Drosophila melanogaster: one gene and its partner. The protein of the gene in region 2 purifies or fractionates together with the protein of the main gene of each other region. This does not show direct contact. Each region holds a gene or a part of one and is shown on either strand. Other genes may lie near its edges.

The links.
Region 1: the proteins of CG10939 (region 2) and Slik purify together in Drosophila melanogaster (affinity purification with western blotting, with the first as the bait; one study listed by BioGRID). This does not show direct contact.

Annotation. Positions count from the first base shown.
Region 1 is NT_033778.4:24,399,498-24,404,418, forward strand, and holds the start of Slik (Sterile20-like kinase), read right to left. Parts: upstream 3,184-4,921; 5' UTR 3,064-3,183; intron 2,888-3,063; exon of another isoform or gene 2,338-2,887; intron 2,312-2,337; 5' UTR 2,166-2,311; intron 1,989-2,165; 5' UTR 1,873-1,988; coding exon 1,549-1,872; intron 1,484-1,548; coding exon 1,285-1,483; intron 1,222-1,284; coding exon 911-1,221; intron 844-910; coding exon 703-843; intron 607-702; exon of another isoform or gene 531-606; intron 395-530; coding exon of another isoform or gene 353-394; intron 1-352. Other genes in the region: Rpn8 (regulatory particle non-ATPase 8), read left to right, coding at 3,693-3,867, 3,935-4,776.
Region 2 is NT_033778.4:17,392,486-17,397,675, reverse strand, and holds the start of CG10939 (uncharacterized protein), read right to left. Parts: upstream 3,084-5,190; 5' UTR 2,650-3,083; intron 1-2,649.

The DNA of each region.
Region 1 (4,921 bases), 7.0 Mb from region 2:
GAGCTTATAGATAGTGAAACTGACACTTTTGTCAGCTATGTGCTGGTCAGACTGATTAGTAACTTAAAACCGTGTGTGATTGAAAGTGTGCTGCCTATAATTACCGCAAGAAACCGATAGCGAGGGCTTACGGAGGAAGCCAAGTACAATAACAAACACAACGAGCGAAGTATGCCTCCGACAGAGGAGCTAAGTGATAAGCGGCATTTGGCAATGCTGATAAAATAAGTAAACTAATTGTGGGTCCGCTTTTGAAGGACAGTGCCTGGGATGCAGAAACAGAGGAGGGGAGGGGTGCGGGTGCCAGGAACGGACGGAGCACGGACGGCTTGCTGTAGAACGACTTACCAACCCTCTGATAGAGCGAGCGCCGCTTCACTTGGCGTTTAAGCTTCTATATCAATTATTTCCAAGTAACCACATACAAATGATAAGAACAAACATTGCGACATTTTGGCGGAACAAAACAGAACGTAACATAAACGCAAGGCAAAGAATAGTCGAGAAGAAACGAAGATAAACATATAAAATAATGTATCGCGCGGTGCGATTTGGTTGGGTTTTCAGGCGGCAGCGTGTAAGAGAGAAGAAAGAGCAGTTGGAGAGGTGAGAGAACGTAGAAATTATCATCACATCTAGCAGTTGGACTACAAGGGTGCGGTGCTGGGCACAGGGATCCATGGGCTTCCAAGGCGCACTCACCTCGGTCTCATCATCCACCACCTCTTCCACGACCTCGGCCTTGTACTCAAGCAGCAGATCCTTGATAGGCTTGGCATCCAGATTTCTGTTGATGAAAGCGTGCTGCATCAGCACATCCGTCGTGGGCCTCACCTGCGGATCCTGTTCAGAAGGAATACAAAAGTAAAGTTAGAATGGAATGTAAATAACAGATTTTAGGGTTACCCACTTTGACTAAGGACTTCTTCAGGAAGTCGTTAAACTCCTTGCTCCATCGAGAAGGCTGCTCCAGCTTGGGCGGCTCGCTCTTTTGTATTTTCAAGAGCACTCGCATGGGCGACATCTCGCTGTTGGGCGGCTCCATCTGCGCCAGCTCAATGAGCGTGATGCCCAGTGACCAGATGTCCACTTTGTGATCGTACGGGTTGTCCCGGAAAGTTTCGCAAAGCACCAGCTCCGGGGCCATCCAGTAGGGAGTGCCAATGAAGGTGTCGTGCTTTTGCATGGTGTGCTTGTTTTTGGCCGAAACGCCAAAGTCCGCTGAAATGAGTTGATTTCACTTTGAGATCGTCTCGGCTTAGGAAAAGGGCACCGATAACTTACCCAACTTGACGCCACCTTCCATTGTGAGAAGCACGTTTCCTGCCTTCAAATCACGATGGATGACTTTGTTGCGATGCAGGAAGGTGAGACCCTCGGTCATGTGCTTGCAAACATAGGCAATCTGCGGCTCAGTCAGCGGCTTTTCCAGCTCCACCATAATGCTATCCAGGGCCCCTCCGTCGCAGTACTCGATGAGCATCTGAGAGGAATTTCAAGGAATGATTCATAATCCCGATAAAACTTGAAGTACATCGATATACTCACCCACAGCTTATCATCGATGGAAAAGGCCTCATACAGCTCCACTATATTTGGGTGCTTGATCTCCGACAGAATGTCGATCTCGACCATGTGATCGCTAAGGTTCTCCTCGTCCTCCAGCTGACACATTTTTGCGGCAGCAAATCGCTTCTGCTCCTTGTGCTGAGCCTTGTAAACCTTGCCAAAGGCTCCGTCGCCCAGTTCGCCGACCATTTCCCAGAACTCCGCCGGATCCGTGTCCATCTTGATGTTGTTGTACAGGCGCTTCTTCTTGGCCTCACCCCCGCCGAGGTGGAAGACCTTCTTCAGGTTGGTGATAAACGACATGTTGGCTCTCTTGTAGATTTCCCCTGCTTCTGCTGACGATGATGATTTCTTGGGTTGAGTCTACATAGTGAGCTCCTGGGCGAGAGTCCAAGCAGGAAAACTAGATTTGGTGAAAGCTGCGGACATTGGCAAGCGTTTATTGATTGAACGGGCAGGTGTATATCACAGACTTGGCAGGGTTTCAAGTCTAGCTCTAAGTTTCAATCTGAATCTCATTCTGAATCGGAATCCGGGGTGGAACTGCCCCGTTCTAGAACGCAGACCATAGCCCAGATATCGTGGCCTAAACTCACCTTCTTTGCAGCACTCTCTCCTCGGTTCCTTCTCTTTTTTTGTTCAGCGAAATAGGCCAAAAAGCGGGGATTGTGGGCTTGGTTGGCCCGTCTTTAGCGCTTCTGTGTTCTGTATGTTTTATAATTTAATTAGCAGCTAGCGAGCTCTAATATTTGTAGAAAAAACACGTACGAATGGGAGGGAAATGATTACAAACGAGAAAAAGTCAAAGACGTAGACAAAAGAGCGTGCGTGTGTGTGTGTGCGTGTGTCTCTGCTTGCGAGTATTTGTGAGCTGGTCTCTGGGCTTTTAAGCCCCTCTCCCCCTTCAAGACGGACACCCGAACACCTATTTACGCCGAAATTGCAGCGAAACCCGGGATTTACGGATGCCAAAGCTGACTAATTCGTAGAGGCGCCTTCAATTCGCACTGCTCAGCTCGTAATTCGTGAAATTTGTAAACAACACGCGCACTTTTAACTAAATTCAACATCCCATTGATGATTACGGAGCAAGTATAGCGGCGAATGGGCGTGAAACTTGAGGACGCACGCAAACGGAATGGGGTATTACCTCATTCGTACACAGTCACTTTCACGGTTTTCGGCTTTATCTATCACTGCACTATCGCTATTTTGACTGTTTTTGCCGCACACTAAGCCATTTGAAGCGTATTTTACCCCGAAAATGCTTGGAAATTTCTCTCGCGCAAACGCTTCGTGTTGCCACTGAGCTGCAATTGCACCCTGTTTGGCGATCTGGCAGCGCCGGCGAAAAATGGCCGTTTAGGTCATCTGTGCCAGAAGAGAGCAGCACTATTTGCCTTCGCCAAGGGCAAAAACAGAAACAACACACACTTATGCAAACACACACGCAGAGGGGGAAATAATAAGTTAAGTCGGCTGCTGCTTAGTTACTTTGCTTTACAGCTGGTTTTCGGCAGGTGCAGCCTCAGCAAACGTTCTTTTCCGCACTTCCGCTGTCCGATTGCGCACTTTCTAACTGTTTGCACGGCGCTTTTCCTCTCATGATTTTTCCACCAGCATTGTGTGGCCGTTCAACAAAACTCCAAAAATACCAAGGATGGGTGATTTTATACACCAGCAATCCGGTCCTCCTATACCCTTCCCTTTATAACATATAGAACTATTAGGTTTTCTTAACAGCTGTAGAAAATCGATATCAATTCACTACTTTCCAGAACACGACAACTTTATTGTTCTAAAATGTAAGTGTAGGAAAATAATGAATATGTTATATTTAATATGCTGTATTCCGAGTCCGAGTGTGACCAGTTAATCATTTTTAGAAAAGCATGCTTTTGCTTGCCTTGAAATAAATTCAGAAAGCGAGGCGTCGGCCACACTGTAAATCGTTTCTGCTTGTCATTTTGGCCTGAGTTTTTTGCCGCAAATTGCAGGTAATTTAGCGAAAAACAGGAGTCGCAGGAAGCCAAACCCGTCGAAAACAAATCAGTCCGGTACCTATCAATCGGCGCAGAGGTCATAGTAAGCCCCCGAACCGAAAACCCAGAAAAAGCACAAACATGCCGTCGCAGGAGGTGAGCGTAAACAAAGTGATAGTGCATCCATTGGTTCTGCTGTCCGTGGTGGATCACTTCAACCGGATGGGAAAGATTGGCAACCAGAAGCGCGTAGTGGGAGTCCTTCTGGGCTGCTGGCGATCCAAGGGAGTGCTCGATGTGTCCAACAGCTTCGCAGGTTAGTACTGCCTTTGAATATCCAAAGTCGTGGCCATAAAACAAAAGAATTCCCTCCCGACTTCCAGTGCCCTTCGACGAGGATGACAAGGACAAGTCGGTGTGGTTCCTGGACCACGACTACCTGGAGAATATGTACGGCATGTTCAAAAAGGTGAACGCCAGGGAACGGGTTGTGGGATGGTATCACACAGGTCCCAAGCTCCACCAAAACGACATAGCCATCAACGAGCTGGTCCGGCGCTATTGTCCCAACTCCGTGCTGGTCATCATCGACGCCAAGCCCAAGGATTTGGGCCTGCCCACAGAGGCGTACATATCGGTGGAGGAAGTCCATGACGACGGCTCTCCGACCAGCAAAACTTTCGAGCATGTGCCCAGCGAGATTGGCGCCGAGGAGGCGGAGGAGGTGGGCGTGGAGCATCTGCTGCGTGACATCAAGGACACAACCGTGGGCAGCCTGTCGCAAAAGATCACCAACCAGCTCATGGGTCTGAAAGGCCTGAATGCCCAGCTGCGGGACATAAAGCAGTATCTGCAGCGCGTCGGCGACAGCAAGATGCCAATCAACCACCAGATTGTCTACCAGCTGCAGGACATCTTCAACCTGCTGCCCGATATAACCAATGACCAGTTCACGGGCACAATGTATGTGAAGACCAACGACCAAATGCTAGTCGTCTACCTGGCCTCCATGGTGCGCTCGATCATTGCCCTGCACAACCTGATCAACAACAAGCTGGCCAACCGCGACGCCGAGGAGGGCAAGAGCGACAGCAAGGAGGCCAAGGAGAAGAATAAGGATAGCAAGGATAAGGACAACAAGGAGACCAAGGACAAGGACGGCAAGAAGGCGGAGGAGAAGGCCGACAAGGGCAAGGACGAAGGCGGCAAGGGTTCGCGCAAATAGGAGCGGAAGAAAAAGCGCAAACCCCGTCGCAAACGAAAGAAGCAGCGGGCGCAGGACTAGCTGCTGCTTCTTCTGTTCTCCAGGAAGTGGAACTCATCTGCAGACCATACGGCGAGGGTGTGCAGTGGCCTCAGAAATCAAGCAT
Region 2 (5,190 bases):
GAAAATAAAAATTGATTCTAGAACCTGTTTTTTGGGTTTGCTCGGGGTCTGGTCTTCTCTCTGCTGGCTGCTTTGTGCTGGCCTTTTGAAATATCTTTGGCTTTGTACTTGTTTCGTTGCTGCTGCTGCTGCTGCTGTTTTAGGCGTTTCTTCGGCTGTTGAATCTCGTTTGGGTCTTTTGTCCGAGCAGCCAAACAAAATAAAAAAAAAAGGGAGTAGGAAAGCAAAGCATTTCTGTCGGAGATCCCAGACTCGGAGCCAAACTCCGACCGGGATTGGGGCTTTCGTTTTCGTTTGTTCGCCCCATCCATTTAATAAGGCACATATTTTGTATAATTTATACCATTATTTTTCGTATCTTCTTCTTCATTCGAAAGTTTATCAAAAGCGAAAAGTAAAATTTCTAAGCTTTGATTTGATATATTAACTTGCAGCTTTGTCTTTTTATATAATAATCTTGAATCTCAACTGCGACGAATGTGTTTTTTTTTCAAAGACCTTGGGAATATTATAAATTAACGTTTAGAAAAAATGATGATCGGCAGCTTAAGTAGAAACAATAATAATGCACAAACAATGCGCAAATTGTTGCTTGCTAACACAATCACTTAAAGGTATAAGATATGTTTGCAAAAGCTGAAAACTGTATATTCAGGTACTAGATTCAGTTACTATACTCAGGTAACATCCATTGTGGAAAGACGCTGCAATTGTGAAGATTTTCGCATGCCATTCAAAATGCAAATGAATGGATGTGGGAACCGCATGAATCACTACTACATTTTCGCCCAAATATGATAAATAGGTTTAGGATTTGCAAATTCTATGGAAGCTCAACGGTTATCATTGTTTATTTTTGCTTCGAATTTCATTTAGAATTCAAGGCTACGAATTCGAAAATGCGATCATAGCAATCACGATCACTTTTGGCCTTCACAATCAGCTGTTTGCTGTGAGAAATACAAATGATTTATTGAACTCGAGCTCTTTGGGAAAGCGCATAGTTAGCTTTGGCTAATTAATAACATTTTTTATAGGGAAATTCTGGATAAAAGTGTTCTGTTTTAATTGTCACGATCAGTCTTATTCGCACCAAAGTTTGGGGGTTCAATACGTTCCAGGAATTGCTGAAACAATTGCCTACTTATTCATTTCGTGGAAATCTCCCGTAGAATAGATTTAAATAACAATTTGAAACTAAATATTCTTATTATGCCGAATTCCACAATCTCTAGGCCAATTCTCAATAACTGGTTGTATTTCTGACATACTCATTGATCTTGCACAGATCTTTCTATCCGCGAAATGTGTCAAAAATCGTCGGGCTGTGGCCGCGATAAATGCAAAACCCGATCGCTAAATACCGATTTAATCGAATTAGCATAGCTAGTGACAAGCGCAGAACGCCGAAGATTGGATCTTAATCGTGGCAAGTGCCATAGAAAAACCCACAAAAGAGGAGGGGGAAAAAAACTATGAAAAAACCAGAAATACACGCGACAAAAATGCACAACCAGCAAATCAGAAGAAGTAAACCGGTGAATTAGTGCAACAACAACCAGCGACTCGAAACTAAAATAAAAGCAAAGTCTAAACAAAAACAGAGAAAAAGACTAGAAAAAATAACCATTAAAGAAACCTGCTTTGAGGCATTGCTGGAATACCAGAGTTGTCACTTGGGGATTGGGGATTTCGGGGCTTTTTCAGGTGAATTGCAGGTGGGGAGTGTCTGCTGTCGTAAATAAGAAGAAGAAGTGGGAGTAAAACCTGCCAAACTTAACAGCGATTTATGAATAGCGTTAGAAAGAGAGGCCGCCAAGTGATAGGCGACAAGAAAGAGACAAAATCGCATGCATGTCGCATTTGCAAACGCAACGGCCTTATGCAATGCGCCCAAAAGAGATGGTGCGAGAGCGTGCGAGTGAGAGGGGGCAATATAAATCAAAACAATTATTATGTAAGGCGGTGCGACGGTTAGTGCAGCCAAAAGCAGTTAACAGGGCAACACATTTAGCGGTACGCAATAAAAGCCCATTTTAATTTGGCTTATTTAGTTTATTGATTCAGCTTTAATGCAGAGAGCAAAAAGTTATTGTTAGCGGGTGTACTATTTCAAATGCAAATAATCCCCTTATCAGTATCTTTAAGATATACTTGTACATATAGCTATGGACTTAATTGGGATTCAGTTTAAAAAATATTGACTTGTTCCATCAAATCCTTGTTGTTTCATCAATTGAAATTTAAACTGAAAATCCGATTATAACAATTTTCTAAGTGTAATCGTTAAGGCCGATTGCAGCTTCTCTTCCCTCTCGCTCCCGCAGCCAAATCGTCCTCTCTTTCCCACCCCAAAGCGCTTTGCGTGTGTAAATTGTTTATTTAATTTCAGTTATTGAAAATACAGTTTTTATGGCTTTCAATTGCGATGACCAGCAAATGAAATGGACTTTTATTAACTTGGTTAAATCATGGCAAGTGATTCAATGCGATTTTATAATTATTTTTGCACATTTATGTTTAGCACGTTGTTTTGTTACGTTTGTCCGTAGTAATTCCAATGGATCAATTGATATTCTGCTCGCATTTCGCTCAAGTTCAGTGGCTCTAAAACTGTCTCAAGGCTGCAAATTTCATTTTTCGACTTACCGCTTAAACAAACAAGTAGAAACGATTCCCTTTCAAATGTTGCTGTTGATTTTCAGTTTTCTGTTTTTGTTGCAGTTATTATTGTTGCACTCTCTACTCTTTTCCGTATGCAAACGCTGTCACATACACACACATAAACACGTCGTCGTTCTTGTTGTTGTTGTTACAAGGCCTTACTATTTTTAATGAAATGAAGGAGTTGCCGAACAGCTAAACGAAACGAAAGCGAACAGCACACGAAAAAGTCACACAAAACAATCGGCTAAAATAACTGTTGACAGGCGAAAGAGGCGCAGAGAGAGGGCTACTCGCGTTGTTTTTGCTGCTGTTGCTGCTGCCTTCCTGATATTATTTCTACGTATGTAATATTATCTCACACGCTGAAGATCCGTTGAAACGTTGTTAACGCTTTCGCGGGCAAATCGTAACTGATTTCGGTTGCTGAAGCGTCCGCGGCAGGTGAGAGCCGAAGTAAGCCCCGATCGTTATGTGTGTTGTGTTGCATACTTTTGGGCCAGCGTGGTGGAAAAGAGAGTAGAAAAGTCCGCAGATCACTGTGGTGAGTTTCACGGGAGTTCGAGGGCGAGAGATTTTTCGGCTTCAATGGTAAATCTGAAAACTAAAAGAAACTACTTTTTGAATGTTCTGAAATGTTTATGTTTTAAGCAGTGCAACCAATACGCTTAACGCAATTTATTAGCTATTATTTATTTAACTCCACGAAATTACACCACTTTATGGCCTATCGTATGATGACTTTGTTTCAAAGCTCTTTATTTCCGTAAAACCCATCACTTTGTTGTCTTCACTTTTGGGCCCTTTTAATCCCATTGTGTCCTCTTATCAGCAGTGTCCAACGATGTTTCCAAGCCACTGCATTACCTGTATGGAAATCAATCAGAGGGATGAACGAGAAGGCACTGGGTGCAATTCCAATTGGTTTTGTCGTCCGTTGCAAGAAAGAAGCCAGTTCTAAACGAAATGTATGAAGTGTAATGGAACATTGGTAAATACCATGCAATGAGAATCGCTGTTATTGAGTGATATTAGGTCCTTGAGCTGACGCTTATGGATATGTGGTCAACTGTACTTCTGGCCCTGCTTTGACAGCTGACAACTGTCATTTTCGGCCTGGCGCACCTGACGTGTGCTCATAGAATTTATTTAATTTCCGCCTGGGCATTCAAGTAAATTGACTTTCATCGCCCCTTGGCACACTCTTTTCACTCCACGTGTGGGAGACAAACAAAAGCCGTGTGCTAATGCAAATTTGGGCAGATCTTTGGATAAACATCGCAATGGAATAGTCAAAGTTCCAGCGGCACATTCCACTACAAACAAAATTGGGGATGATTGATGGTGGTATTTTTAACATTTAACATTTTAGAACATTTATGAAAAAAATTTACGTATATATTTAAAAAAATAACCATTTTTATAGTTCAGAATCCTGTTCTAAAGATGGTTTTTAAACACAAGATGAATTATTTTCAGTGTCATGCTCGCGTTTTTGGGTACTCCGCGGCGACATTTCGCTGCTCTACTCGGTTGCCCTTATCGTTTTAATTAGTTTTTGAAAAAGTTGGACCAACAAACTCTTGGAACGGCAAGGGCGGCCAGTCGTGCAGATAGAACTAGTGCTGGCAATTATGAAATTGCAAATAAGTTCCCACTTAGCGAGCAGGGCAATTGCATTTAAAGCGCAACGCCTTTACATTTAATTAAGGCCGAACGATGGGCGCCACCTGCTCTGTTTGCCGATTCACCTGTTTATCTCTAGAGGTTGGTGGGTGGCACTTTCTTAGCTCCCTGCCGATTTGCATGAATATTTATAGCGAATGGCGCTTTAAATGCAACTCCCTGGGAAAACGTCGCCGGATTAGGCAACAAATTTATATGCACAAAAAACGAAATCAACAAAAACAAAGAATTGAAAAAGAAGATGCAAATGCAGAGCTGCGAAGGCTGAGATTTTGCCAAAAACTTTTGGGGAACCTGCAATAAAAAAGTTTTCTTTAATCCTACAGGGGTTTTCGTAATAAATGATTTAAATTGCATTTCCAATGAGGTTGAAAACCTAATGAAAGAGGACACCTCGGATTTAAGCGAAATTCTATAAAAATTATAAAAATCAAATCCTGGTACAAAAATTCACCACCACATCAAAATAAATTGTCCCCAAACAGAAAACTCAAATGAACTTTCAAAACTCAAACCGTGCAAAAATCGTTCAATCTTCTTAAGCAACCGAACAGGCGGCCAGAAAAACCCAGAAAGCCAACGGAACCGATTCAATTTAACTTTCGAACGAAACACGCACACTGCTGTACAAATAAAAATAAAATTACACACACATTAGCTGGCATATATGTACGAATATATTTGCTTTGTCTCGGTTCTTTGCATACTGCCATCTCGCTTCGACTCTGGCCTTCGCATTCACACAAGCAGTGCACATTACAGTTTCGAAACGATCATGCGGGTGCGTTGGAAATGTGCGAGCGGTACGACGCTTGCTGTTCGTTGCTGATCGCCTGGTTG